7 separate regions of the Mus musculus genome follow, and all the other regions are reported to be linked to region 3. Evidence: microRNA targets listed by miRTarBase, many of them from high-throughput screens and not tested one by one. Region 3 holds a microRNA gene; each other region holds the end of a gene's coding sequence.

Evidence for each region. The annotated mature microRNA mmu-miR-155-5p reads UUAAUGCUAAUUGUGAUAGGGGU and lies in region 3 at 1,632-1,654, opposite strand. An mRNA with a match to its seed (bases 2 to 7 or 8) in the 3' UTR can be bound and repressed. Matches are read on the target gene's strand: a 7mer-m8 pairs with bases 2 to 8, a 7mer-A1 pairs with bases 2 to 7 and ends in A, and an 8mer does both.
Region 1: miRTarBase lists Fgf7 as a target of mmu-miR-155-5p. Seed matches in the 3' UTR shown: 7mer-A1 at 363-369 and 8mer at 1,058-1,065.
Region 2: the mRNA of Mier3 is a reported target of mmu-miR-155-5p. Seed matches in the 3' UTR shown: 7mer-m8 at 3,098-3,104 and 7mer-m8 at 181-187.
Region 4: miRTarBase lists Hbp1 as a target of mmu-miR-155-5p. Seed matches in the 3' UTR shown: 8mer at 392-399.
Region 5: miRTarBase lists Ets1 as a target of mmu-miR-155-5p. Seed matches in the 3' UTR shown: 8mer at 3,951-3,958.
Region 6: miRTarBase lists Mfsd6 as a target of mmu-miR-155-5p. Seed matches in the 3' UTR shown: 7mer-A1 at 3,414-3,420.
Region 7: miRTarBase lists Tcf7l2 as a target of mmu-miR-155-5p. Seed matches in the 3' UTR shown: 7mer-A1 at 1,784-1,790 and 8mer at 1,768-1,775.

Annotation. Positions count from the first base shown.
Region 1 is chr2:126,089,384-126,092,383 of GRCm38, forward strand. It overlaps Fgf7 (fibroblast growth factor 7), which reads left to right. Exons shown (of 4, transcript NM_008008.4): 4 at 1-1,802. The coding sequence ends at 178. All of the region lies in intron 11 of Fam227b (family with sequence similarity 227, member B), which reads right to left. Among named protein-coding and RNA genes, the nearest start is that of Gm26496, 19 kb to the right of the region's middle.
Region 2 is chr13:111,714,188-111,718,711 of GRCm38, reverse strand. Mier3 (MIER family member 3) reads right to left here. Exons shown (of 13, transcript NM_172593.3): 11 at 4,344-4,471; 12 at 4,125-4,267; 13 at 118-4,028. The coding sequence ends at 3,571. Among named protein-coding and RNA genes, the nearest start is that of Mier3, 30 kb to the right of the region's middle.
Region 3 is chr16:84,711,273-84,715,796 of GRCm38, reverse strand. It overlaps Mir155 (microRNA 155), which reads right to left and starts at 1,657; the gene lies at 1,593-1,657. Mir155hg (Mir155 host gene (non-protein coding)) reads right to left here and starts at 2,774. Exons shown (of 2, transcript NR_132106.1): 1 at 2,704-2,774; 2 at 552-1,744.
Region 4 is chr12:31,923,486-31,927,713 of GRCm38, reverse strand. Hbp1 (high mobility group box transcription factor 1) reads left to right here. Exons shown (of 11, transcript NM_153198.3): 11 at 207-1,259. The coding sequence ends at 224. Cog5 (component of oligomeric golgi complex 5) reads right to left here. Exons shown (of 23, transcript NM_001163126.1): 22 at 1,923-2,069. The coding sequence ends at 1,955. Among named protein-coding and RNA genes, the nearest start is that of Hbp1, 25 kb to the left of the region's middle.
Region 5 is chr9:32,753,258-32,757,781 of GRCm38, forward strand. Ets1 (E26 avian leukemia oncogene 1, 5' domain) reads left to right here. Exons shown (of 10, transcript NM_001372534.1): 10 at 956-4,524. The coding sequence ends at 1,168. Among named protein-coding and RNA genes, the nearest start is that of Gm3331, 28 kb to the right of the region's middle.
Region 6 is chr1:52,657,200-52,661,723 of GRCm38, forward strand. Mfsd6 (major facilitator superfamily domain containing 6) reads right to left here. Exons shown (of 6, transcript NM_178081.4): 6 at 2,787-3,888. The coding sequence ends at 3,461. Among named protein-coding and RNA genes, the nearest start is that of Nemp2, 29 kb to the left of the region's middle.
Region 7 is chr19:55,931,606-55,934,605 of GRCm38, reverse strand. Tcf7l2 (transcription factor 7 like 2, T cell specific, HMG box) reads right to left here. Exons shown (of 15, transcript NM_001331146.1): 15 at 951-3,000. The coding sequence ends at 2,749. Among named protein-coding and RNA genes, the nearest start is that of Gm52391, 5.0 kb to the left of the region's middle.

The sequences.
Region 1 (3,000 bases), not on the chromosome of region 3:
TTGCAACTTCAAAGAACTGATTCTGGAAAACCATTATAACACCTATGCATCAGCTAAATGGACACACAGCGGAGGGGAAATGTTCGTTGCCTTAAATCAAAAGGGGATTCCTGTCAAAGGGAAGAAAACGAAGAAAGAACAAAAAACAGCCCATTTTCTTCCTATGGCAATAACCTAAGTGTACATGGTATTTGAGAAACCAGTTTCATTCAGCAGGGAGATTTCTTTCCAGTGGACTTTTCTTCTCTCTCTCTCTCTCTCTCTCTCTCTCTCTCTCTCTCTCTCAGTAACCAAGAAAGGCTGGAAAACTACTGAAAACTGATCAAGCTGGACTTGCGCATTTTTGTTTATTTTAAAAGACTGCATTAAAGAAAGATTTGAAGAATATACACAAAAATCAGATTTAGTAAAGGTTGTAAAAAGTTGTAAAAGTGGTTGTACAATCATGATGTTAGTAACGTGATATTTTTCTTAAATTAATTTACCCTTAAGAGTATGTTAGATTTGACTATCTGATAATGAATATTTAATATCACTATCTGCTTATAAAATGGCTGCTATAATAATATTAATAATGCAGATGATGTTATATAAGGTATGTCAGACCTAAAGGCTGCTGGGATGCTTTGTCAGATGATCAAGCCCCACACAAACTACAGACGATGAGCAGTGTTTGAAAGCTTTCCAGTGAGAACTATAATCCGGAAAAATGAATGTTTTCAACATTTTATTATAGAATAGAATCTACAGGTGGTTTTACAAAATCACAGGCTTGGAACATGCCTGTACTGACTAATATGAACAAAAATCCACTCAAATTGAAAAGGTATTGCTAACAGGATGTTTTAAAAATCTGTATATAAAATAGCAATAATGATGATAATATTGTATTTCATCTCACCACAAAATAATATTTTATAATCCCTTAAAATAAATTTCAGAAATCTTTACATTTTTTTCAAGTAAATCTATCTGTTGTATAAATCACATTTGGGAACACAACTTTTAGTAAATGCTCTTCCCACAAATAATCATGCTTATTTCCCTCTGTGATTACAGCATTAAACTCTACTTTAAGTTGTATTTGAATTTTATTGTTTTGTTATTTAAGTTTATGTTATTTATAAAGAAAAAAACCTTAAGAAGCTGTATCTGTTTCATATGCTTTTAATTTCAAGGGAGCAACAAACCCGACTGGCTGCAGTGCAGATGTCCCCTCCCCTGGTGGCTGACACCATGACTAGCACACAACACTTGGCTAGCAAGTGCTGGATGGCAGACAAAAACGACAGCCTGTAGCCATGCTCACAATAGATGTCTCACAGAGAACAATACAAATATGTGGGAGAGATTTTACACAACGCTCGTGCCAATGAATTTGGATCATATACGTAAAAAAGAAGTATTTAGTGAGGATGTATTTTTGAAAATAGGCATATTTAAAGTTAGCAATTTGATGTCTTTAGAAGTTTTTGCCATACAAGATATGCCAACATTGAAATGGCAAGAGTGAAACTCCAATAGAGGTTGTAGTCAGCCTTGAGGCCTCAGGTTGGGCCACAAATGACAGGCTTAATAAGTAGATGAATACTTACTCCATAGTTCTGCAACCAGTAGATGGATGCTGACATAAATTTATGAATAAGTACTTATGAAGGGAAGGGCAACATTTATTTAAATTGTTGGTATATTAATTAATGCGGTATCAACTTCATAGTGCTTGTCATTAAAGTTTCTTTATATTACATACAACACTTTTTGGTAATATGTTTATATGTTAAGGTATATGATAAAGCCTTGTCAACAAAAAAGAATCAATTGACTTTGTGTTTGTCCAGGCATCCAGGCTACTGGAAGGTCAGAAGTGTTGCCCTTTGCCACATACACTGAAGGACACACATGAGGCAATACTTTGTATTAGCATCCAATTCAAGACTACTTGTAATCTAGCTTCCTAGCCCAGGTACTGTAACTGGAGTCTTGTACACATACCAAAGGTAGAAAAAGACTGTTCTTCTTAGTTGTTTCATAGGTGTCTAGCTGATTATGACTAGAGTTTATAATCAACATATATATGTAAATCCATTAAATAATATTTTCCAAGGAAAAGGTGAAATGCAATTATTCTTACTAAAAGTTTAAAAACTCGGAGCAAAGCATAATCACGCAGAAGCTTAAACAGAAGTAGTAACCATACACAGAAGGTGGCTATAGTGATTACCAAATTAGTTACTAAGAAAAAGCCATTAGAATATTGGACTTAAATTAGACAGAACCAATATTGAGTAGTAAAGCCATTCTTAGTGATATGCCATGTACAAAATCTGCCCACAAGCACTAACATTTTTGTTACTTTTAGATCATGTGCCTGTGTAAATGTCTTTATGGGTGTGTAAATCTAGTGTGGACAGTAGTCATGGAGTTGAGCAGAGGGTTCTAGGAGCTGAGCTTGGGTCCCTTGCAAGAACAGTGTGTGTTCTTAACTGATGACCCATCTCGCCTGGCCCAGTTCTTATTTTTAACATGCAATTTCAAAAACACCTGTTTAGTCAAATACATTTAGAATTCTAGAGTCTTGAAAGTCTATGAGGCCTTCATCTTACTCCTCTTTCACATCAGGAAACTGAAATTTTTAACACACTGGGTGCTGGATGAATGCAGGTTACCTTGGAGTCTCAGACACTAAGCTTGTGTCTTAGTCTCACCTTGTCAGTGATCACCTTGTTTTGCTTGATTTTAATTTCCATCAAGATGTCATCTTTTTATGTGAGAATACTTGTGGTTTGCTTGTCAATTCACTTAGCACGTAATGATACCATTATGATTTGACTCTAATGGAGAAAGGAATGTGGTTTCCAATTCTGATTCCTAAGCAGCTTTTATGTGAACTTCTTTATAAATGAAAAGTATCACACAAGACATTTTCATAATCATAGTATTCCTTTCTAAAGTGTTCTTTAAAAAGAAAACCATATCAACTCATGGATTTCCCCAAGCTGG
Region 2 (4,524 bases), not on the chromosome of region 3:
GAGTGAGTTCCAGGGCAGCCAGGACTACACAGAGAAACCCTATCTTGAAAGACAAAAAAAAAAAAAAAAAAGACTGGTTTTAAACTTTTTGGTAAATAGTCACACGACCCAGGAAAACAGATTCCCAGATTTTTATTTCTGGAACTGTACACCAGGTATTAAAGTACAACAAATACAAAATAATGCTCAAAAAATCAGTGTTTATGTACAAATATTAAAATCAATGCAACAATAGCAACTTCCTCTTGAACACTGGATACTAAAACTTGTTCTGATTGTCACTAGTTCCTCATACTCACAGGGTACTTAGTTCAAACTGGGACAATTGCAATCACTGGTCATCTAAGAGGAATATTAATATCTACCATATTTAACAATAAAACTAATAGTTTCCCTCCTTTTAGTGAAAAAATTAGGAACTTTTTAAAAAACATAGTAATGTCAATATTTTATAAATTATTTCAATTTCCATTCGTAGACAATGTGCTTTGAAACTCTGGGCAGACAATCTCCTTGGTGGTCGGGTTGTTAGCTTACATTCAACGTTGAAGTATTTACTAGACTTTGGTTAAATTAAATAGCGCTACTACTCTATTAGGTCTGATCGCAAATATTTGTGACCTTCAATTTTAAAAATTAAAAAGGAAGCGATTGCACAATTCTTTGACCTAATTGTACAGACTTTAGGTTTTTTGTGTTTTTTTTTTTTTAAATAGTATTCTACATCCTTCAAGTAAATTCAGCAGTTGACCATGACAAGAGGAAAACTAAACATTAAAAGGCCGGCATAGCACGGCGAAGCACACGTGACGAAAGTAAAGTATTGCTCCAGTCACAGCACCAGGTCACACTCGTCAACGTCCACATCCTCCGAGTGCCCTGGACACACAGGATGGGCCAGCCGACACCGCCACTGCTCACCATGGATTTTTGGTTTGTTCATATGAAAATATTGCGGCAAATGAAAGAAACAAAGAATTCATCACCGTTTGCTATAAGAATTGTGCTTATTAACACGTGATAATAAAGGCATTGTTTTTCTTCATACGATTGCAAAGCAGATTTTTTATGCTTTCAAACTCAATTCTTTTAATAAACAGTAACAAATTCTCTGTTAAGATGTTCAAATGGAGACAAAAAAATAAGTCCAGCTGTTGGAAGAAATTCAATAAATAGCTATTTTACATGGATAAAGTCATAGTGGTACAATTTATGAATGTCACATCAGGCATGCACAAAAATGTATCATACATGACAGGAGCAGTCAGAAAATATTGAATTAGGTCTAAAAAGATATGAAGAATTTACTGTACACATATATACAAAAATCTTGCAAATTATTGCCTCATTTTAACAAGGAATTAAAAGTAAACGTTACCAGCTAGGTAGCACTCTCTAAGAGGCTAAAATCCAGTTAGCATTTAAAAATCTGTTAAACTAGCTGGAATTTATTTCTCTCATATCATTTTTCTGGATTTTGGTCAAAACTCTATTTAAATAACTAAAGTGTCCATTCAACTTGCTGATAATCAAAACTCTAGATGAGAAACACTGTTTCCATCTTACATCAAGACCCCAGCGATGCATAGATAAACTGTGCCAGCCAAAGAGAATGGGCATTTTCATGTAAGTGCAACTGGTATTAGCATTCAGTTATCTTTGTATAAATCATTTATACAGACCAGCCACGGTAAACCCAGAGTGAAAAATATAGTTTTAACAATGCAAGAACATGCCCGGTATCCTCCTACATTAAAGAAAGTCTACTGAAGGGAACGAAAAAACCAAGGTTCAAAGTTTAGCACAGCACAGCAATAAAAAGCTAGCTAACCACTTGGAGAGTATTAGAAAGCAACATGGAGCCCAGGCTACCCATTGTTTACTGTGTGCATACAGGAATACTCAATTTTAGATGTATAAGTTAAAGACTGATTTTAAGTTATTAATTTAACTACCCTTTGTCCTCTGTGCTAAACTAAATTTTATACTTAATGTGCTACTGCGTAAACACTTCAAAGCAATCTTCATTAAAATGCTGCAAAGGAAAACAATACACACCATCCAAAAGCAAGGATGTCATTGCAGTTCACAGTTTGTGCAATAAATACCCTCCCGTCCAGTCACTAGGACCACTACCTCCTACCTACTCTTCAGCACGACCTTGAAGCGACTCACACTTATAAACAGCAACACAACTAGGAAAATAAAAAAAAAAATCAAAATATTTAATTAAGACGGTGCAAAAAGTAATTGTTTTAACTGTAAAAGTAAAGCTTATATCCTAACACTGTGTTGTAGAGTTTGACTCACCTGAAAACTTAAAAGGAGCATGTCTAATAAAGCAAAAATGGTCAAAGCTATGACAATGGCTTCTTACTCATGTTTGGAATAAAAGTGAAATCACGTCTGAGATGCACGTGAACATCTGTCACGTTTTAAAACTTAAAAGTGGTAACGTACCATTCTACTTCAGACAGAAACTCACAGTTTTCTTTCCAACTATTTGAGCTAAACAAAGTAGCTTCAAGGGTCTGCGTTATGTATACCATCTAGAAGTCTAAGTATATTAACACTTTGAACTGCAGTGCTCCAAACAAGGTGTCCCAAAATGTAAACCACTGTGGCAACTTCCTGGGCTTTGTAGACTGTGCCTTGCAAGTCAATTGCCTCGGAACAAACTAAATTACCAGTGACCAGTATGATTTTTAATATTACAATCTTGACAATGGTGGACAAAACCCCATATGAATACCACATCTTCAAATGCCAATTTTTTTGTAAAAAAAAAAAAAAAAAAAGAAAGAAAGAAAAAAAAAAGTTTACACAGAAGTCCCCCGGCAGTACAATGACCAATTCTGTGTAAGGTAGCCCTGGTCTGGAATTTTGAAACAGGATCCAAGCAAGTGTCTCCTTCATTTGCACACAGCTCCTCGCGCCGGCTTCCAGACAGATGGTCTTGCTGTTTTGTAAACTGAAGTGCTCTAGTTGAATAACATGAGAGAAGTTTCTGTTTTTAAAAAAAATCCTTGCATGTTTGTGCAGTTTAAAGAAACCTACCCCTGCTTTTATTAATAAAGAAAACAAAAAAAAATAATAATAATGCTACATTGAACAGGGATCGGGGTTGGTACCTGTAAACATTGATCCCACTGCATCCGTTACGGCAAAAGGAGCTGACATGAAAAGAGGCCACATCAGTTCTGAACATCTGTGCTGGTTTGAGCTGGTGGCCTCTGTCTACAGGTTTTAAATCTGGGATGAGGGCGGCGGGAACAGAAAAAAAGGAGGCCGTGGAAGAGGTACTAAGGGATGAGGAGAAGCAGAGCTTAAAGCTGCACCACAGAGCTCCATCTTAGTTCCCAACTCTGCGGATCATAGTTCATTTCCACATTTATGGATTGAAAAATGAAAATACTCTTGATAAATCAAGATATAGTTCTATACATACTGACATCACTGATGTCATAGTGAAAAAGGTTCAAACTTCCAGTGAAAGACTATGCAAACCTGATAGCTCCCCTTCAGTTTACTGGTACTGCATACCCATTGTCTCTGGGCTTCCCGTTCCCATCACTCTGAATGAAGGGCGGCGTGCTGGTGCTGATGCAGACTATGGGCATTGATGAATCCGTTTGTCTCGTTGGCAGACAAACTGCCAAAGTCAGCTACAGAGACAGCCATTTTGGCACTGGTGATGTGATGTGTATGGTTTTCAAAGTCTACACCCAGGTTGTTTACAGAAACCTCATTCATAAAGGATTCGGGGACAGCAATGCCCATCTTCAATCTCTTTGCTGGTCTTTCGGATTCTTCGCTGCACATGGGGTTTAACTCTGAGTGATAAAATCCAGTCTCAAATAAATTAAAACAATCACTTTCACCATTGCTGGGCAGGGTGAGTAACTCTTCCGTTACGACAGGCACATGATTGACGTGTCCACGAGGCGTGTTGGCCAGCGGAGGAAAGCTGTCATCCAGACAATTCACAGCGGTGGGGTTGCAGACAGTTGCTACACTGTTGGTTAAAGCTAGAAAAAGAACGGAAAGGAGTTTAAGTGAGAGGTCACTGCTCTGCAACAACAGAATGCAGCCTGCAGCAGGCTGTGCACGCAGCCTCGTCTTACCTGTCAGGTCACTGGCAGTGAAGGAGCTGAGAATGTTCAGCGGCTGATCAGGAACGGGCTCAGGCCGGTTACAAGTTAAGGCTGAAGAACTGACGGTACCACCCAGAGACTCTGTCTCATCTACGAGACGATCCATGTAGTCCCTGAAGAAAGCACCATAATCTTAACTGGGCATCACAGGTAAACATGGCAGTCACTCAAGTCAAAGACTATACTTACGTAACACCAGGGTGATGGTTATAGCGTTTCTTTCCAAATTTTGTCTGTTGAGCAAAGTAATCATAGCGTTCTGATTTCTTCCACATGTAGTAGAAGGCTACGCACTCGGCAACCGTTCTAGACCTCACCTAGTAAAGACAGGCAGACAAACTGATGCTCCCAACACCGTCTTTAGCAAGTA
Region 3 (4,524 bases):
TATTCCATTGTTGTCTTTTTTGTGTGTCTTCTGAAATCACAGTCTGTACTTTGCAAAAGAAAGGGTCATCACAAACAAAAAGTATTCTAAGCCAACTAAAGACTCAAAGACATTTATTTGGCTATAGGGAAGACAATGACAAGATATTCAGGAGAACTATCAGAACAGGTATAAATTAGGGCTGGTGAGATGGCTCAGTGGGTAAGAGCACCCGACTGCTCTTCCGAAGGTCCAGAGTTCAAATCCCAGCAACCACATGGTGGCTCACAACCATCCGTAACAAGATCTGACTCCCTCTTCTGGTGTGTCTGAAGACAGCTACAGTGTACTTACATATATACATAAATATATATATACATATATATACATAAATAAAAAGTCTTTAAAAAAAAAAAAAAAGAACAGGTATAAATTAAATATAACAAGTCCAGCTGTCTATGTGTTCGTCAGTGATATCACTGTGGAGAAAAATTGCATAGGAATTCAAACATTAAACTTCTGTATATCAAATTATTACCTATGTCAGGCAACGGGGTGAGTTTTGGATTGGCTTTAAGACATCACTGTGGGATTTTATTACCTTACAAAGAGTTGTTCATCTCCAGTGAGCTGCACACCAACCTTGTAAAGTTTCATCCGCATTCATGAAGAAATGCGTAGGAAACGTGGGTCTCCTTACTACACAGCTTTACTGTGCAGCTAAAGCAGTAAGCTTGAACCCAGATTTGGGTTTCATTTCAAATGTGAATATTTGAAATTAAATATTAATTAAATTAAATATTTATACCGTGTGAGGAATATATAGGTAGCCCTCAGGAATGATTTGTCATGTCACTTTTTAATACTTCATCTTATTTTCTTAATTTTTTGATAAGGCATTTTTCTGTGTAGCTAAGGCTGTCCTGGAGCTCACTCTGTAGACCAGGTTGGCCTTCGACTCAGCCATCTGCCTGTCTCTGCCTCCCGAGTGCTGGGATTAAAGGAGTAAACTACCAACAGCTGGCTCATAGATTTTAAAAAAATCATTCAGTGTTGACTCAGTTTTTCCTTACCTAGCCCTAAACTCTAACACTAACCCTAAATTTTTCCTTACACTAAAACACAAGAGTTACAAATTTTAAATCAAAGTTGACTAATACATTGTAATGTGGAAAAAATGCCAATTCCAAGTCTTACAAGAGGTATTCCAGACAATCCTAGATGTCAGTCGAGAATGGCCGTCCTGAATTTTAACTACAGAAATATAGAAATGTCCTTTTTAGTGCATTCATTTTGTATTCTGGTTGAATCATTGAAGATGGTTATGAACATAATTTTGAAATAAAAATGATACAAGTTTCACTTTCCATTCAAGATAAAAAATAAACATGTGGGCTTGAAGTTGAGATGTTGTTTAGGATACTGCTGATCTATCTTTTAAATGACATTTATCGTAACACTTACAGTGGACTATCCTAGTAACCAGGTTATGACTAGCACATTAAATGATAGAGTCTGACATCTACGTTCATCCAGCAGGGTGACTCTTGGACTTGTCATCCTCCCACGGTGGCCATTTGTTCCATGTGAGTGCTAGTAACAGGCCTTGTGTCCTGTTAATGCTAACAGGTAGGAGTCAGTCAGAGGCCAAAACCCCTATCACAATTAGCATTAACAGCATACAGCCTTCAGCAAGCCTCCAGCAGCCAGAGGATAAGGGATATGCAACTTAAACCACACACTTCCCCTTCCTGGTTTGCAGCACCTGCAAAGAGAAAAAGAAATAGTTGTGTGTACGCACACAGTTAGTTATAAAGTAGAGTGAACGATTATGAATCTGAAGGCAAGGTAGACTTCAGCTTTGAAAGAAAAGAGCTCTGAAATGCTTCTAAGTAAATTTTGGAAAATTTTTGTAAGGTTTGCAATTTAAAAACTAATTATAAAATCAAACTTTAAATTCTGTGGAAATATTTGAATACATGTATCATTTTTAACACAGCCACGGTTCATAGTTCTACAATGCTGAAGTTCAAAGGACACAACTTCAGTTCTGGGTAATATTCTGACGTACATCCCACAGGTCACTAGGCAATTCAAGAAATCTCAGATATTTAGGATGGTACTTTATGATTTTTGAAAGTTAAAACTCAATGGATGAACCCATTTTGATTCTATAAATAGTAGTTGCGATTTTCACCTTATTCGTTTTTCTTTTTCTTCAAGATAGGGGGTACAGCCAGGGCAGGTCTGCCCTGAAAGGTATCTGAAAATGCTCCTGTTGTCCTCCAGTGATTCCTTTGGGGACTCACAAACCGGTGGCTTCAGTTTGACCCATGTAAAGGAAGTGCGCCTTAAAGAGCTCTGACTCAAGGGACTTGTCTCCAGCAGAGTGGTTTAGAAAAAGAAAAAAGATGAATTTGCTGTTTCCTGTTAGAGTTGGATTTTACTCTCTCAGATAAAGTGACATTTCTCCCACAAGTTTCTGGTTTCAGTGTTACTGTACGCGAACCTAGAAGTTCAAGCATCACTCAAGTCTGTGGTTCCCTTTAGGACCAGAGGGGAACCACCTTTTCTTTTCTTTAATAATGAAACCAGCTAGATGTAGAAATGTGATTAAGTTCAAAAGAAATGCATCAAGTTAAAAATTCCCCAGTGAATATATTTTGACAGGGCAGAATATCGTGGCTTGGAAATTTCCAAACCAAGGAAATATATCATACTTACTGATAGTATTTCTTTTTTAAACTTTGCTGTTTTCTCAGATGAGCTGGTTTCATGAGGAAAGTCTGTGAATTACACAGTTTCAATCTTGGATTTTATTTCAGCCAAAAGAAAGACTGTAATAATACCTTTTCTCTTCATAGTGCATTGAACTCAGTAAGTCCTCAGTAAATCTATTAAGATTCTAGTGTTCTACTTCATGCCATATTATTGACCCATTAGGGAGAATATATGCAACTGTGCATGTGTGCATGAGTGCCTACATAACCCCATTCCAATTTAAGTAAATAACTTATCTATAAGTTCTGTTTCTATCCTTTAAAGATACCATCTGAATAAAGGTATTACCAAGAATATATTTAGTATAGGTAGCCAAGGTTGCCCTATATAACCTAGGCTGGCCTTGAACTCATGACCTTACACTTCAGTCTCCCAAATTCTGGAATTATAGCCATATACCACCACATCTGGCTATATATATATAGCCATATATACATATATATGTATAGCCATATATACATATATATGTATATTACATATATACATACATGTGTGCACACATACACACCTATCTATCTATCTATCTATCTATCTATCTATCTATCTATCTATCTATCTATCTATCATCTATCTACATGAAAAGCCTAGGTTTGATTCCCAAGTACCACATACATGGACACTGGTGCAGCCTTTGATCTCAGGACTTGAGAGATGGACTTAGGAGGATCATGAGCTCAGGGCTGTTCCCAATTACTTATCACCTCTGGGGTCAGCTTGGGCTATATTGGACCCCGTCTCAATAAATAATAAAATATAATGTTAGGAATTGCTATTGCAATCAACTCTTTTGACCTTAGGTAAAAATCTCGACCAACCTTAAGCACTATATTTAGTTCAGACAAATCGTAAGTCCAGGTCCCATTCACTATGTGGCATATCACCATTTCTCTGTGGTATAGCCTAAACCTAAGGACATTCCAGGAGAATATAATTAGACTTTTCTTCAGGATAATATTTTGAGGTATAAGGGAGGCATAGAATGTCACAATCTGTCTAGTCTTGCTGATTTGCCAGGGAAAATGTTATCAGCTAAGGTACTCAGAGAAGAATATGTCCTATACTGGATCTTTTTATTTTTAGTAATTTTTTTGTGGTAACACACACACACACATGTATCTCACACATATAACACACACACACAGACACACACATACAGAGTAGGGTAGATGAACTTTTGGAGCTGTAAGAAAGGGCATCATATTCATACTCATCTTCAACTTTCATCATATACATATACACACATATATCTACATACATACATACATACATACATACATACATACACACATATACATACATACATACATACATACATACATACATACATACATACATACACACACATATACATACATACAAACAAACTTTGCCACTGTAACCAGTTTTAAGTTTCTGATTGAGTTATCAAAGACATCTGCATTCATTCCCACCTTTTCTCTCAAATGACTCCATTTGTTTTATGAGGGTCTCACTTTATGTTAAAATCATGAGTTGTAGGCCAAGTGTGGTGGCACACACCCTTAATCTTAGCACTCAAAAAGCAGAGGCAGTAAGGTTTCTGGGAGTTCCAGGCTACTCTGGTTTATATAGGGAGAGACTGTATTTCAAACAAACATACGTACAAGCAAACAAGCAAGAAAATCATGAATTAGATCCTCCTACAATTATATATATATGTATATACATGTGTATATATCTATGTGCTTATTTTTTTGTCTGGCTTATTCTTAGCACCAACCATTCGAGAGTTATCAAAGAAACTGC
Region 4 (4,228 bases), not on the chromosome of region 3:
GGGTTTGAACCCAAGGTTCTGTGCTTAAAGGCAAAGTATATCTATGGAACCACACAGCCATTCCCTACAAATTCTCTAATGTCTGGAACTTCATTTGGGACATTAGCACTTTTCTGTGCATGCTGGTCTCACATTTGTTTAAATTTTCCAGATACTTAAGCTATGAGCCATTAGGAAACTGAGAACCAATTATTTTGTTTCCACAGGGCTCTCAACAGCATTAAACCTGATGCTTGTGTTTGTAAGTCTGCATCTGCATAAGTACTGACTCTGGATGGAAAAGCTTGGAAGACCTTGGTCTCACCATTTGTCTACATTTGTGTGACCATAAAATGCTGGGAGCATTGAGTTTTGTAATGATTTAATGGGTGAGGATTGCTTTCTCCATTAGAGCATTAAGCTATAACTATCAACATTGTAAACCAAATTGCCTTATTTTCCTTCCAAACTTCATATATCTATCAGGTAATATAGGCTTGAAAATTGATATCCTGTGGTGCTAAAGTACAGTAGAAAGATGTGTATACGTTTTATTTTAAATTGTACGAAGGGGAATTTAAAAATACGTAACTGCTGTTTATACATCAGCTCCTTACTGCTTATTAATCTGTATTGTACCCACGATATCAGGAGTGAAGCAGACGCTGGCCTTTCCATGAATAGCCACCACATGGCCCAGCATCTCTGCCAAACACAGTTGCTTCTAGTCTGGCCAGTGCCAAGAGACAACATAACATGGCAGGTGGATGGTGTCGGTGTCATTGTCTCAGCTCAAAGAGCCACCTGCTTCAGATACCATGGGCATGTGCTGAGTGGATGCACCAGGGGGCAGCACAGCTCCATGATTCCCAGTGGGGCCCAAGCCAGGCCAAGGTGCAGTCAGTTAATAGCATTGGGACAGTCATTGTAATGGTGCTGTTACCAGTCGACACCATTGTGTTTGACCGCGTTCCTGTCTCCTCAGCCACATACCCTCATCTGTGCTGTCAGTGTGTCTCTGGTGGGGCAGACTTTGCACTTACTGCAGTGCACCACTTGCACTTTACTCCCTCCGGCTTCTGAGACAGAGCAAGTACTTCAGCAGTCCTGCTGCTCTTGCTCTGAGCTACAATCATGGCTTCTCATGTTACTTACCAAGTGAGAGTTTTGGTTAGTAATCACAGCTGTAAAATTGATTTACACTTGTTAAACATATTGCCCCTCAATTTTGCACACTATATTCTTGTATATTATTTCAAATAAAAGGAAAAAAAAGGTCTGTCTTTGATTTCTGGTTGACTGAATTCATGATACCTATCAGTATAATCTGATTGGCAGATGGAAAACAAATTCTTGATAAAACTGAGTTCTGGTGTTATAAGTAGGTTTCTGGTGGGGTTTTAAAAATTAAAGAATGTTAACAATGGAGTAAAGACTAAAAAATAAGGCCCTGAGTGCCTGTTTCTAGTAAAATGACTGTAAAGAAACCCTGACTTCATTTAAAGCTGTAGTTAGATCCAGTAAAGAGCATTTAGCAGTGTGTCTGCCTCAGCCTTGGGCTCCGCCATAGTTACTGGGCTTGACTACATGCCCACATCACTTTGGGGTAGAGTGGCTCTGTCAGGTGTATACTCCTCAACTCCCTGCCGATGTGACTTCTTTCACTGGTTCGTTATGTGCTTAACACTAAAGAAAGTGGCAGGCTGGGAGGATACTGTCCCTTCATAAGCAGTGAAAATAATGAGCCAACTATGACAGCAAGTAAAATAGCCTTCCTCCATCGTCTGAGAAGGGGAACATAGGTAGCTTTATGAAAAAGCCATGTGGGTGCTATGTGAAGGCTGAGATGCTTGAGCTATTCTGACATTTAAAGAAAAAGTGCTGGAGGTAACAGAAAGAGGAAGGACAGAAAATCAACCATGATCTTTAGTTGTAGTTGCCACCTTTGGACGGGTCTGTTCATGGAGACTGCAAGTCACTGAAGAGCAGACATAGCCTTTTGAAGCAGCTGAACCATAATGGGATAAACTGGTGCAAATTCTTTACCGTCCCTGCTTCTCACTGACTGAACATAAGCTTCCAGGGCTCCCCTGTAAATGCAAAAGAAAACTGTCATAAGTCCAACAGTTTTGATAGCACCGATATGGAAACAAGACCGTCTGTTCCTGGAACAGCACAGTGCCACAGACCAGTGTCAACAGCCTTTACACGTGCATTAGAGCTACAGTGGCTGTGCCAGGTGAGTGGTGCAGTATGGCCGATTTCAGTCTTCATCTCAGTATGTGCTCCTTTCCTTTGTCCTGAAGGCACGTGAAAGAATGCACATAGCTGTGTCTCCCCCAGAGCTCAGCTAGGGGAGAAAAAGCCTTGGACACACATGCTCAGACAGACCCTTTGCGCACATAGTAAAACAGACAGGGCAGCCTACAGCTACAGCATTTTCGGGTTTTTAGTTTTTGGTAGGTTTTATGATGGAAAGTCTGAACTTAGTTAAGTACTTCCATGTGTTGCTGTGCCGTTGCTTTGATAATCTTTGGTTTGTACTAGGGACAGGAGACAGCAAATGGCAGCAGCATTCATGGCCCTTGGCTTGCTCCTTTATACCTAAGGTCATTTCCTTCCCACCACCACAGCAGAGCTGTAGGGAAGCTACAAGGCTACAACAGTGGTCTCCATGAGAAGACGTGTGTATGTTCGCCAAGTAAAGCTAAGAGTGGTTTGTAGTTTGTACTTCTTTATAAAGTCCCCACTGTTCTGCATACATACTCATTGCACGTCCCATTTAGCAATTCTGTTTATTCCCAAACACTAGAAATAGCCAGTGTTGTTCAGATGTGTTCTTTATTTGTGTCCATCTGTCTTTTAGACATTTTAAGTAACATTGCTTCTAGGTGTCGTTTGGTCAGCTACCAAATGCTTGGCATCGTTCTGTTCCTCTTTCCATCATGGAGCCCAGGGAACTGGTTCCCTTCAAACTCTCATTCCCATTTACATGGGATCAGTTACAAGGTCCTCAAACTCACCCCACCTATTTCACATCTGGCCCCCTGCCGACCACCTTGTTTCCCTTAAATGCTTTCTGTCTTGTTTGTAAAGCTGCTAGCTGGGTCTCTAGCATCACCTGCCCTTCACTGTTTGCAAGAGGAAGTCCCCAGGCAACCCAGCTTTGTTGGAAACAACTATGCAGCCCTTTATGCCACTTTGGGCTTCAGGGCAGTCTAGTGTAGCATGAAAAAGACCCACTTTGTACTTCACTTGCTGCAGCTAAGGCCAGCATCCAATCAGGGAAGAAATGGAAATAGTATATTTCTCCCTCAGATAGGAGTTGGCAGAGAACCTGTTTGGTTTTGACCATGCACATATCTTACAATTAAAGAAATGAGTTCATCTGCACACTTACTCTTATCTGTGGGACGAATGCCCTTTCTTGTGTTCTCCCTAGACGGCTCTTTATCATTTAGGGCTCAGCTTTAAAAATTTCCTCTGTCATAAAACCCTAACACTAGGTAGCAAAAAATTACCCTGGAGTCACAGATATGAAAATCCTGACTACAGAGTACCGAGCATTTTGAAATTCCTGAAGGCTGTGTTCAGGATATGAGGGAGTATGGACAGGCCATTACTAAGCCAACTTCTCCAATTAGATATAATCCTGTTACTGGTCATGTGCGTAGCCTCAAGTCCCATATAATGAGTAATCCTAGCTACTGACAGAAGTCAGTGCTCTTAGCATCCTTTTGTGGGATGGTCCAATGTCAGGTAGCAGAACCAACCCTTAAGGACTTACTTCTCTCTGTATTTTTTAATAAATTTGAAAATTGTTTCTTTGCCAATTGGCATACCAGCTTAGGCAGTTGCTCCAACTCCACAAATGTCTTCAAAGCCAGGCTGAAAAGGGCTCAACCATCTTGAAGCAGTTGGGTATGTGTGCATGCACATGTGCACACACATGTACATTTTCCAGTCTTAAGAAATAAGTGGAAAATCTTAGAAACTAATGTTCCATAGTGGACACACTGTTCTATTTACAAAGTGCACTTAAAAAAAAAACACTCTGCATTTGTAGAGCTAAGCATATAAATTATACATCACATTGAAGGAAGTTTAGAAGTAAGTTTGGTTAGATTTTTCTTTTGATATTCATCAAGAACACCATTAGAATGACAGTGAGAAAACAGATTAAGCAGCCCTCCCACATAAAATCAAGAGCAGGATTTGTAAGCATTTATTAAATTACTTCATTTGCTTC
Region 5 (4,524 bases), not on the chromosome of region 3:
ATCTCTCTTCTGGCAGACATGAGAACGTGTCTCTACCCTGGTCCAGAAAGGATGCTTCCTACTGGTGGAAGCAGAGGTGCCAGCGCTCTCCTCCCATCCTCTCCCTTCTGCCCAGTTCTGTGCTTTCATTTTAAGGATGCCTGCTTATAATGTGGGCCAGAGGGATGTCTGCCCCACGGCTCTTCCTTTTCCTTCAAGACCAAGTGTTTTAACTGTATTCCAGAGGAGTTCAGAGTCACTGTTTGAACAAGTAAATGGAACTCAACACTTGGACACTTGAAATTAGAAGTTCTATTGCAGTCACATGTATGGGATAGGGACATTGTCCTATTGAGAGGAATACTCTGGGCTCAGAAAGACAGCACATATTCTCGCTTACATGTAGACACTGAATTGCTGATTCCACAGACACAGAGGATAAAAGAGTGACGTATCTGAGCATGGCCAGGAGGAGGCTAAGGGGTTGGGGAGACCCTGGTTAATGAGCCCAAGAATGCAGGTACAGGAATTGGCAACTCTGGAATCTCTGTGGTACTGTAGGGTGCCTACAGAACATTAGCAGGTATTTCAGAATCGCTAATGTGGGTTATTTTGCATGGTCCCCAGAAAGTAATGGGAAATGCCTGTGATTGAAGACATGCCATTTAGCCTGGTCTGATCACGACACAATGCACAGCTGTATTAAAATGTTGCATTGTTCTGCCTACATCTTTTGAAATAATCTCAGAATGTCCATGGCTCCTAACTATACATTCAATGTATAGTTATTATAAACAATTCAAAATATTTTTTAAAAAAGGAAATGAAGGAATAAGTCAGACATATGCACACACACACACACACACACACACACACACACACACACACACACACACACACATGATGTTTGTTTGACCACCATGATGGATGTGAAGACTTGTATAGACACTTGTATTTAATTTTATTTTTATTACAGGTGGCCAGGAGATGGGGAAAGAGGAAAAACAAACCTAAGATGAATTATGAGAAACTGAGCCGTGGCCTTCGCTACTATTATGACAAAAATATCATCCACAAGACGGCGGGCAAGCGCTACGTATACCGCTTTGTGTGCGACCTGCAGAGCCTGCTGGGATACACCCCTGAAGAGCTGCACGCCATGCTGGATGTAAAGCCGGATGCTGACTAGTCATGGACAGACGCGCAGAAGGAAGGGGCTGGGGGAACCCTGCTGAGACCTTTCAAAGAGCAACCCTGTTGGTTGGACTCTTCATTTTTAATTGTTATTCAATGTTTTATTTTCCAGAACTCATTTTTCACATTCAGGGGTGGGAGCTGAGGGAGCGCCGCTGTATTCCATTGGCCATTGGTGGGCCGGAAAGAGGAGGTCAGGACCTGCGGGGTGGGCGGGGCAATAGCTCCTGAGCAGACTTTCAGAAGGGAGAGGTCTTCTCAGAAGCCTGTTGGACCTGGCTTGCAGAGGAAAAAAAAACTTAAGTGTCCGTTTTTTTTTTTTTTTTTTTTAAATCAAAGAAAAAAAAATTCATCTTGAGTTGTGGATCTACTAGTGGGAGGAATGATCACATTGAGATGAAAGAGATTGATGAAAGCCAGTCAGTTTTGTGGGTGGGCTGAAAACAGTTTCTTCAGGGGATTACTAAACTCAAGAATTATTAACCTTTCTACTTTTTGAAACAATGATGGACTTTGATTGAAGGGGTCCAAAACTGTTTTTATGTTGAAGTTTATTTTATTAAATTTTGTGCCAGTATTTTTTTTTCCTTAAAAAAATATCGTCTTAAGCTCTAAGGTGGTCTCAGTATTGCAGTATTGTGAGTTTGTTGTTATTTGCTGGCTGAGGACTCTTGTCACAGTGAAAGACAACTGTTTATATAGACCCCATTGGAAAAATCCCAGTTCTGTACTGAGATCAGAGACCCCAAACTCTTACAGCTAAAGGAAACGAATGCTGATCTGGGGACAGGGGGACTGTGCGTGTGACTTCCACCTGCGGTTTGTAAAAACTGTTTTCCTTTGATTCACTGTCAGGCTTTGGACTTAGTGTTAGTTACGGGGCGTTAAGTCTCTGCACTGAATGTATTCTGCAGCTCTTCTATGGAATCGTCGGCATCATAGCACAGTTCAAGTCTTGGAAACGAAATCCAAGGAGCAGGATTAACCTGGGTTTTGGTTAAACCGCTACCCGAAACATGGAAGACTCAGAATAAAAGCCGTTTGCATGGGCATTACCCCGAGGGTCTTAAGGCCTCAATGCATGCCATTCCAAACTAACATTCTCAGTTCTCCTCTACTTTGTCTTATGTTCCCCCCGGCATCCCTCATTGCTGCCCCTCCCTCATCACTGATCAGTGAAAGTGGAGTGTAATGCATCCTGACACGTGACTGAAAGTGTAGTTTCAGCCATCACAACACAAATCCAAGAGTCCAGACTTGCTAGGGCTCGGAGGCCACGGCAGTGGAGAGGGTATTTCAGTAGCATGTGACTCGGCCTCCTTTGAAGACTTGGTGCTCGTCAGGTAGGATTTCAGGTGAGACTGCTTGCCGGGAAGTGGCAGGGAGCACTGGCACTTGACCTGTTACCACCTCAGCAGAGGGCAAGCCCAGGTCAACTGCGGTGAGAGGGAGACGGAGAAAATACAAGGGAAGGCGCTTAGGTAAGGAAAATAAGGTGGCCCGAGACAGTTAGATAGATGTTTAGTTTCCTCCAAGTTTAAACTCAGACTTAATTGAGGCAGCCATCATCCTGCCTGATGGGAGAGGAGACCTGAAAATAAGCCATTGTGGGTTAAAAAAAAAAGTAAGGAGACATGCCTGGGATCATTAGAATCCCTTCCACTGTATAGCTGCCTAGTTAAGACAGTGACAGTGACATCCCTGAGAGAAGAGAGGCAATTGGCTGAGGTGGGCCTCTCCAGGCTCACCCTTCGGGGTTTGTAGCTCCCTGGTATCATCTTCCAGGAGAGTTGATGGCTGACTCCCACATTCCCTTGAAGACTCTGAATTACTAAGACTATAACTCTTGTCCGTGGGTGTTCTGTACTGACTGAGTGGAGCATCCCCACAAGGAAGCAAAGGCCAAACATTCCAGCTATATATTTTGATCTTACAAATGCAGGTGCCTTAATGAAGCTCTCAAAATATTTAGGAGCTGCTCAGGGAGTGTTAGGTGGGATCATTTGGATTATGCTGTTTTCTCTTATGTTATGTGATCTTTGTTGGGCACTGACAGTGTGAGTGTGTGTGTGTGTGTGTGTGTACATTTGTATAAAGTTGCAGCTGAAATAGTACTGAATTTTCTACTTAGAGTCTGTTCACATTTCCATAATGGTGAATGAAAGAGTACAGCCGGGGCTGGTATTGTTGTTTGCTCTTTGCAACAGGGCTTAAAAAAATCACTTCCCCAAGTCTTCACCCTTCTCCATATTGGGTTCCTGCTGGGAATGCCCCTCCTGAGAGCCTACCACCTGCAGTCCCCTAGCAGAGAAGACATAAGAAAGTGTCTCCCACACTCCTCAGCGTGCTGACTTGCCTGCCTTGATGCCCTTTCTCCCTAGGTCCACCACTTTTCAGGATTTGTAGATAGTATATTAGTCAGACAGCTTTGTTGTCCATCTGGCCAGATGCTTTCCCCCATCTCCTCCGAAGGCCAGAGACCATCCCAGGAAGAGTGGCGGGTGGTTTATACACTGGAAATGTAGCAGCATTGCTGCATTGATGCTCTTTTAAAACACGTTCACTTCACAGGAAGGATGAACAGATCTGACCTAGCTGGGCGACTCCATCATTTTCCCAGAGAAATGCTTTAACCTGTGTGGCTGGCTTTGGGCTCAGAGGCGGGGCTAAGGATGCTCCCTGCGGAGAGCTCTGATGGTGTGGCCATGGAGACCTTGTAAGCATTCAGGATCAGAGATGCTCTTCCTCACTTTGGAGACCAGCACTCTGGGTTTTAAAGCATTAACCTTCATGGTGAAATCACACCTTCTCTCTCCTAGCCATGCTGTGCATGCGGCCTTCTCTGTTGGGGTCTATATAAACCTGTTGAACTCTTACGTACATTCCAAAGACGTTTCAAGGAACCACAAGTATATGTATACAAATACATATATGAAGTATATATGTTAAAGTGAATTTATCTCTATCAGGAATACTGCCTCAGTTATTGAATTTTTTTTAAGGATACTTTTTTTTTTAAAGCTGAGAATTATTGAGGTGAAAAAGATGTTATATTGTGTTTGACTTTTTCCAACTTGTATTTTCATATAATTTATATTTTTTAAATGCTGAAAATTTAAAAGCAAGATTTAAAAAGGAAAAGCAGGTGCTTTTTAAAAATCAGAACTGAGGTAGCTTAGAGATGTAGCGATGTAAGTGTCTTAAATGTTTTTTGTTTTTTTTTTAAAAACAAATGCAAAAAATTCTTATGGGGGAGTTTTTGGTTTGTTTCATTTAAGTAGCTGATGCTGGCACATCATTTTGCTGGAAAATTTTTTATATACTGTAGGCTGATTTCATATTGTATTTTAA
Region 6 (4,524 bases), not on the chromosome of region 3:
TCAGTGTATGACTATGGTTTGGGGGAGAAGAATATTCTAAGATTCTTGTCTTAAGTCTTTAGAAAGTCATTCTTATTCCCAGAATTCCCATTCCTGGTTCCCTACTTACTCCTTCACAAACAAAACAGACCTACTATGTAAGTTTTAAACATCATGTCCCTCCCCCAGGCACTTAAATCTTATCCTGCTGTTTGTAAATAGTACTCTTTAGCTTAACACTTAGGAATCTGGTGAGTTGTCTTTTTTTTTTTTAATTCCATTAGCTAATTAGAACCCAAGTCTAATTAAAATCCAGCATCAGAGGCTGCTATAGAAGGGTCTGCTTAGGAAGGCCTTGTCTGTCATGTCTTAGGATACTGAGTTGCTTGGAGTCTTTGAAATAGCCTCTCACTTCTGCTCATTCTCACAGCCCATTGCATCAAAGACATTTTAAAGCTCAACTCAGTATGCAGTAGTCAGCAACAGCTTTGCGTCCCAAAGAACTATGCTCACTATATACTATATGCATATAAAAATAGATTTGCTAGAGATGTACAAAGTTCAGTGAACTTTTCTAAACAACAAAAAAAGCATATGTTCTACTAAGTTCCATCTGGTTCCCTTTTCAATATGTCTTATATTTTTTAAAGTTCTTTTCTTCAAGACGAATAAAACTATAGATATACTTTTTTCCCTCTCACTTTTCACTAAGAACCCAATATTCAGAATAAATAATCAGAAGAGGGAGATGAAGTCCTTGTTCACTTTGTGGCCCTTTCATTCACCCAACTTGGTGTGAGTTCTGCTTCTCACCCTTTCATCTTGGTGGAGAAGTTAGGTCAGACCTAACTAACCAAGAGACGTTGTTCTGTGTCTCTACTGGACTGTGGCAGTCTCTGTTTTCCTGCCAACATTTACTCATGTGTGCCTGTGCATTTGTGCATCTGCGTGCGTGTGAGTGTGTGTGTGTGAGTGAGTGTGTGTGTGTGAGTGAGTGTGTGTGTGTGTGTGTGTGTGTGTGTGTGTTGTTCCACAGTAATGAGTTTAGATATTTAGAAGCATATGCATTGCAGTGACCCCCTTGTAGAGGCATGGTCAGGGTTGGGGCCTCGCCCCCTGTCCTGGCTGAGGTGCCTAGTGCCATGCAGGGTATGAGCTGACCCTCAGTGTTCTCCCACAGTGGGCTGAGCCTGCTTCTCTCCACTCTCCTGTCCATGCGGGGTAGCACTGGGGTGAGCAGGGCTGGACTGCGTTTGAGATGCTGCTGTGTCAGGGGATGGCTGGTTTCTAGGTGAGGCGGAGTGAGTTTCACGTGGGGCACGCTGGGCTCCACCAGCTGGAGAGGCTTCCCGATTCTCACTGGTCCCCTGGAAGGAAAAACACATGTTCCATGGTGTTTGAGAAAAAAAAAAAAAACAAATCCAACCATTATACATATTTTCACACAGCTAATGTGTGGTGATGTCTCAAAAAGCCCACTTCAGGGACCAACGCATAAAGGAATAGGATAGACATCTTACCTTTCATCTCCTTTCCTATGTGCAACTGCCAAAGCCGCATGAAAAACACAAACACTATAAGCAGACATACCTATGGCTAAGGGAACATTTGTATCTGTGTTCTTGTCACTGCTAGGCAAACAACTTTACATTTACATATACGTCACAAATATTTACAGAGTACCCCAGCCCTGTGGCAAGTCACCAGGCAAGAGCCATGGGATACCTGAATGCTAGCTATTGGGAAGGCCACAGTATTCAAGAGCCAGGAGACACTGTATAGTAATCAGTAAACAAGGACCCTCAGCCTCAAGATATCTAGGCAAAGAATGCCTGTGAGAGAGTCCTAATGCACACGTAGGATTTCAAAATGAGTACTAATAACTAAGCAAGACAGAGCAGGGAATGCACACAGGTCTTTGAAGCCAATGGGAGCGATCTGAGAACACACACAGTACCCTTAGTAAATGCTACATTGATTATACAACTCAGGGAACAGGATTATTTCAGGATTTTTTTTCTTCTGAATTGATGTTCATTTCTATTTCCTGTAGTTGAACTAAAAATTTTTTTCTTTCATTCCCCTGATTCTGAAATGTAGTTACCTCACAACAATACAATAACATACCTGTCAGCTCTTACTAATTTTAACTCACACAAGAGGGCAAGAAAAGCAAACTTTAATGCTGCACAGGCTTCTGGGCATCTGTAAAAATGAGGATAAATTCACAAAGTACTGAAAGCATTGCCTCTCCTGGGTATCGGGGCATCCTTTCCCTGCGTCTCCTTCCTGCTTTAAGCTCTGGAAGCCTCTGAGTGCTCCTCCATCTCACGTCCAGTCCTGGCTTGATGAATGAGTAAACTGGATTATGCACAGAGTGGCACGAATATGGCTATCAGTGAAGTGTCAGTTCAGGAAAACTATGCAAAGACTTTCCAGGATGTTTATAAAGCTGAGATTCATTAAGGTAGTTGGACAAACTTGCTTTTTCTTTTATGAAGCTTTGTCTTTATTTTGAATTATGTGTGTGCATGCATGTTGGCGGATGGGCACCTGCACACGAGCATCATTAATGCCCTTGGAGAGAGAGGTACATACAGCTGTGATGCTGGGCGCATCCTGGATGCTCAGAACCGAACTCAGGCCCTTTGCAACAGTAGCAGACAACTGTTGGGCCATCTCTGCAATCACCAGTATTTTGTCAAATTTTTAAAAAAGAAATTACTCTTTATTTTCCCTCTTATTTTTCCTTTTGAGTCTCTTTTTAAAAATCACACTTATTTGTTTTTGTTTCTTTGTTTGTTTGTATTGTAGTATAAGTGTGCCATGGAGTGGGGATGGAAGTATAAGGACAACCTGTGGGAGTTGGCTTTGTCTTTCAGCTATTTGGATTCCAGAGATCAAGCTCAGGTCATCGAGCTTGGTGACAGGTGTGTTTACCAACTGGGCCATCCTGCCTGCCCTCCTCTGGGTCCTTTTAAGCTACTGTAAATATAAAGCTGGCATTACTTATCAAGAAAGTGGAAAGATTAATCTAACAGTGGAGTAGATTTATGGCTTTGACCAAACTGTTCACAGAAGGCACATTCTTTTTCCAAAGTCAGGGTATGACTTTATTTCTATAATTGCTGACTTTATCAATACCATTTGACCTTTTTTTCAGGAAAGCCTTTGGGAACAGAAAAGAACATGCCTCTACCTCCCAAGTGAGGCCTCTCAGAACCAGACTTCCTGAGTAGGGTTATCAGACAGAGCCATATGAGGCATAGCTTAATGGGTTAATTTAGCCGCTGTTTACTGCACTCCTGGTATGTGTAATGGTCCCCTGGAATTCTGATTTATAGAGATTAGGAAACACAGTTTCTGAAAGCAAGAGCTGTATATTCCGGCTGAAAATTGTAGTATGCAAAGCTGGAATAGATCTTTTTTTTTTTTTAATGCCTTTGTGAAGCCTTTTTGATCTCCATAAAGCAGTCTCTTCCTATGCTACCTGGTAAACACTGTGACAGAGTGATCGCAGACCACTGATATCCTTTGCTAACATGCCTGTTTTTCTGTTTCCCATGTGTTTTGATGAACAAGGAGGGAGTAACGGTGCAGACGCCACGCTAGCCCAGCAGAGGGTTACCTGTAAAGGTTGTATCTCAGAAGCACGGCTCTCTCTTGTCAGTTGAATTAGCTCTTTAACTTGGTAGAGAGCATAGACAAAGGTCACCCAAGGCGAGGAGCTGACCCCCCAGGCCGGTTTATTTACATCTTCCTGCTCTTCCTGGTGCTTGGTTTTCTTGGGCGGAAGTCTGGCCTCAACGCGTGGCATGACATCTTCTGTCTGTTGCTGTACCAGGTCAATGGTTGCTATGGGAACGGGACTAGAGGGAACTGGGATCCTTTCTGCCAACATTGTCTTGTCTAGAGAGAAAATAATGTTAAAATGACTTTTTGAGTTTTCTACATGTTTCAAACAACGGTGAAGGAGAAGACCGTCCTGACATGGGCGTGCACACCTTGGACCTTATACTCCCAGCCAGAGACTGAGAACCACCCCTGGTCTTTGTCCAGTGCTGCTCAGTGAGACTGAGATGTTCCTCTGAGGTTCTGTAACAAGCAATGTTCTCTCTTACTAGACCACCTCATGTCCCGAGACCGGGAATATTGAAGGACTGAGAATCCAAGATGCAGCTTTGTGCTGGCCCAGAGTGACCAACAACATGTGCCTTCTATTGGTTGACACTTTTCACCAAAAGTTTTATATCACCTGACTCATGCTAATTTTTTAAAATCAGGACTAGAGAGATGTTTCAGATATTAAGGGCTAGGCTCCTCAACTAAGATGTCAAAAAATTGTATTATTTATTTAGTGTGTATGTGGTGTTTGTAGGAGTGATGTAGAACACAGGTGAAGGCCCAAGAGGACAACTTAAAGGCATTGGTTCTGTCTTTTCACTGTGTGGGTCTCTAGGATTGAATTCAGATAGTCAGGCTTGGCAGCAGGTGCCTCTACCTGCTGACCTGTTTCACTGGCCTGCCCTCCCCTTTGCATGACAG
Region 7 (3,000 bases), not on the chromosome of region 3:
GTGCTCTTATTTCTATTCTCAAAGGTCAGTCTGGGGCCTGTGTACAGAATACAGTAGGGAAGGCTGATCAGAAATACTCTTACAACGTACAAAGCACAACAAAACAAAATACAGAAAGTACACAGACCCACAGCTAGCCCAAGCGAGGCAGAGCTCTGGAAAGTTCTTGACCCAACATCATAGTAATCTTAAGTGACAGTCACACAAAGGGTTCTGGGATGCGTAAAATGTCTACCCTCAGAAGGCGCAGCTGTCCTAGACATGTGGACAATAAAAATTCCATCCAATGGACATTGAGAAGAGACACCCAATGACCACAGGAAGATCTTCACTGCGACCCTCCTCAGTGATAGGGATAAACTTGAAGTTATTCCAGTAGATAACCTGTAGCATAGGTCTCCAGAACAGCAGGACCCTTCTAATGCAGAGCTCTGTGAATCCTCTCCCCTCCATGCACAGCTGTGAGTCCCCTCCCCTCCATGCACACAGCTCAGTGAGTGGGATGCCAGTTTTCTGAAAAGCTGCTCGCTCAGTGATTGCTAGATACATCCCTGCCTTCTTCCCACAGGGAATGTCTAGAGAACAGTCAGGGCATACTCACACTCACCATCCTTAAGTGGTACCCACTCAGTTCTTTAAATCCACTCAGGGTGAACTAAATCAGTTTTTAAAATCAAATTCTGTCTCACACTGCACAACAGGCTGTATGAGTGAGAAATGGCCAGGCAAGCAGTGTCTGTTCAGTTATTGTGACACAGTGGGGTATAAAGAAGACACCCTAGGGTCCCTTTGTACACAGGACACTTCACCACAATGAAACACCCACCACTACATGCTACCCACACCACCTCAAGCCCTAACCTGGAAGGGAATGCACCCCTCCAGAGAAAGTCCAGTGTCCGGTAAGACACTCCCACCCCCAAGTCACAGAAGCAAGCGGCCAGCCTTTCTGCACATACTAAGTTGCTTTTATTAATCCAGAACGGCAGGCATGCTACAGGTACTGTACAGCATGGACATTTAATTCATTACAAAATGGCTTCAAAACCATTCAAAAAAATGAACTTGGAATAAGCATCGAACAGAACAGCAACACCACAACTGTTAGGGAGACATTCAAAGTATTCACAAAAAAAAAAAAAGAAAAGAAAATGTTATAGTTAGCATTTTAATAAACCAGAGAAAACCGGAGACAGTTTTACAATCGCTTCATGTCAACTACGATGGCACTGAAGGAACAGGTCTCAGCTTTATACAGCATTTTACAACATCGGCATGCCTAGGTTTTCTTGTTTTTAAAGGTCACTACCTACTTGTATGTAATATGCATACATAAAAGCGGCAGCTGGGGTTTTTTTTTTTCTTTTTTTCTTTTTCATTTAAGAGTAATCTAATATACAGGATTTTTTTTGGCCCTTAAGGGTTTAGACCTCTTCATTTAAAATGCTTTCTGGACAGTCTGCTACCAAACACATTTTGTTATAGGTGACATTAAAACTACATACAAATCTATCTATGTAACATCACAGCAAAACATGGCGAACAGAAAGTACAGCATCAAAAAGGAGGGAGAAAGCTAAAGTCACTGAGAATTTTGGCACATAAAAGTTTTGCACACGGTCAGTCCATGTTCTAAGAGCACAGGGCAGTTGACTAGGAGGTCAAGGGGGAAACGGGGCAGTTCCCACGGCTGCTCAGACGGCTGCTCAGACCCTCTCGCTAATGTTCAAGTCTTGTTTTACAGAATGGCTTTTAAAGCAAGTTTTGTTAATGCTACTGATCCTTAATGCGAATGTCAATGTCCATTTGGTGGCATCTGGGTTTTATACAGAAACAAACAAACGAACGAACGAACGTACGCCAAAAAAAAAAAAAAAAGGAAACAAAAAAATATATACACATTTTATATATAAACTTAAAAACCTTGTACAAATGAGTTGTTATATATAAGATGCTTACGCTAAGGTTGGGGGGGACTTTACACAGTTTCAAAAAAAAGGGAAAACATATTTAAAATTGGACGGACATACAGGTACAGCAAGCAACCTCTAAAGCAATAAATACTACTGGTCCAACAGTGTTGATTCCATTCATTGTTGAGTGGTGTCCCCTCCCCCCCAAAAGAACAACACCATGGAACAAGGTATATTAACACATTTTAACCCTTTGTTTCTGTACATTTAAACAATAACAAGTAACATCAAGGTAAAAGTTGTTTCACACTGGGAGGAAAAAAAAAAGAAAGAAAAAAAGAAAGAAAGAAACGGCACTGCATTCCTTGTGCCCTCGTGGTTTAAATACCAAGGTGTAAAGTGATTGGTTCGCAAGCTCGTATTTAATACAAATAACACAGAACCAACTCCTTCTGGAGGGTGCTTCAAAATTGCTTCTCTCTCTTTTTTTTCTTTTTGTTTTTTAAATCAGTCTTTTAAAACTAAGCTATCCGAACTACATAACAGTTATGTATATATAATATATTTTTTAAACGCTACAAAGACTTTAAACAGCTGTTGATAAAAATTTTGGTAGAATCATGAGGTTTTTCTCATCTACATATTTAAAAGGAGAAATTGAAATAAGAATGGGTCAAATATTGACCAATGAACTCCATAAACATTAACTCATGTAGCCACGGCGGCACAAAATTAAAGAGTACAAAACAAAAGCTTTCCAAGCGGGGAAGGGCGAACCAAGAACCAGAAGGAAACACTTCAATCAAGCAGGGGCATGGAGGACGAGGAGGCGGAGCTATTCTAAAGACTTGGTCACCAGAGACAGAGGCTGGGGTTGCGTTCCAGCCAGCGAGTTGTGGGAATGTAAGGAAGAAGTTGATGGTTGTGCGAGCGATGAGGAAGGGACCATGGACGGCTGCAGAGCGGCAGGTGGCAGGTCCAGAGCCCCATTGGGACAGAGGGCAGAGGCCTTGCCGTGGGCAGCTTCGGCCAACAGGAGCGCGGGTGGCGGAGGCATCATGGACAGGTGGGCCAGAGGATCAGGCTT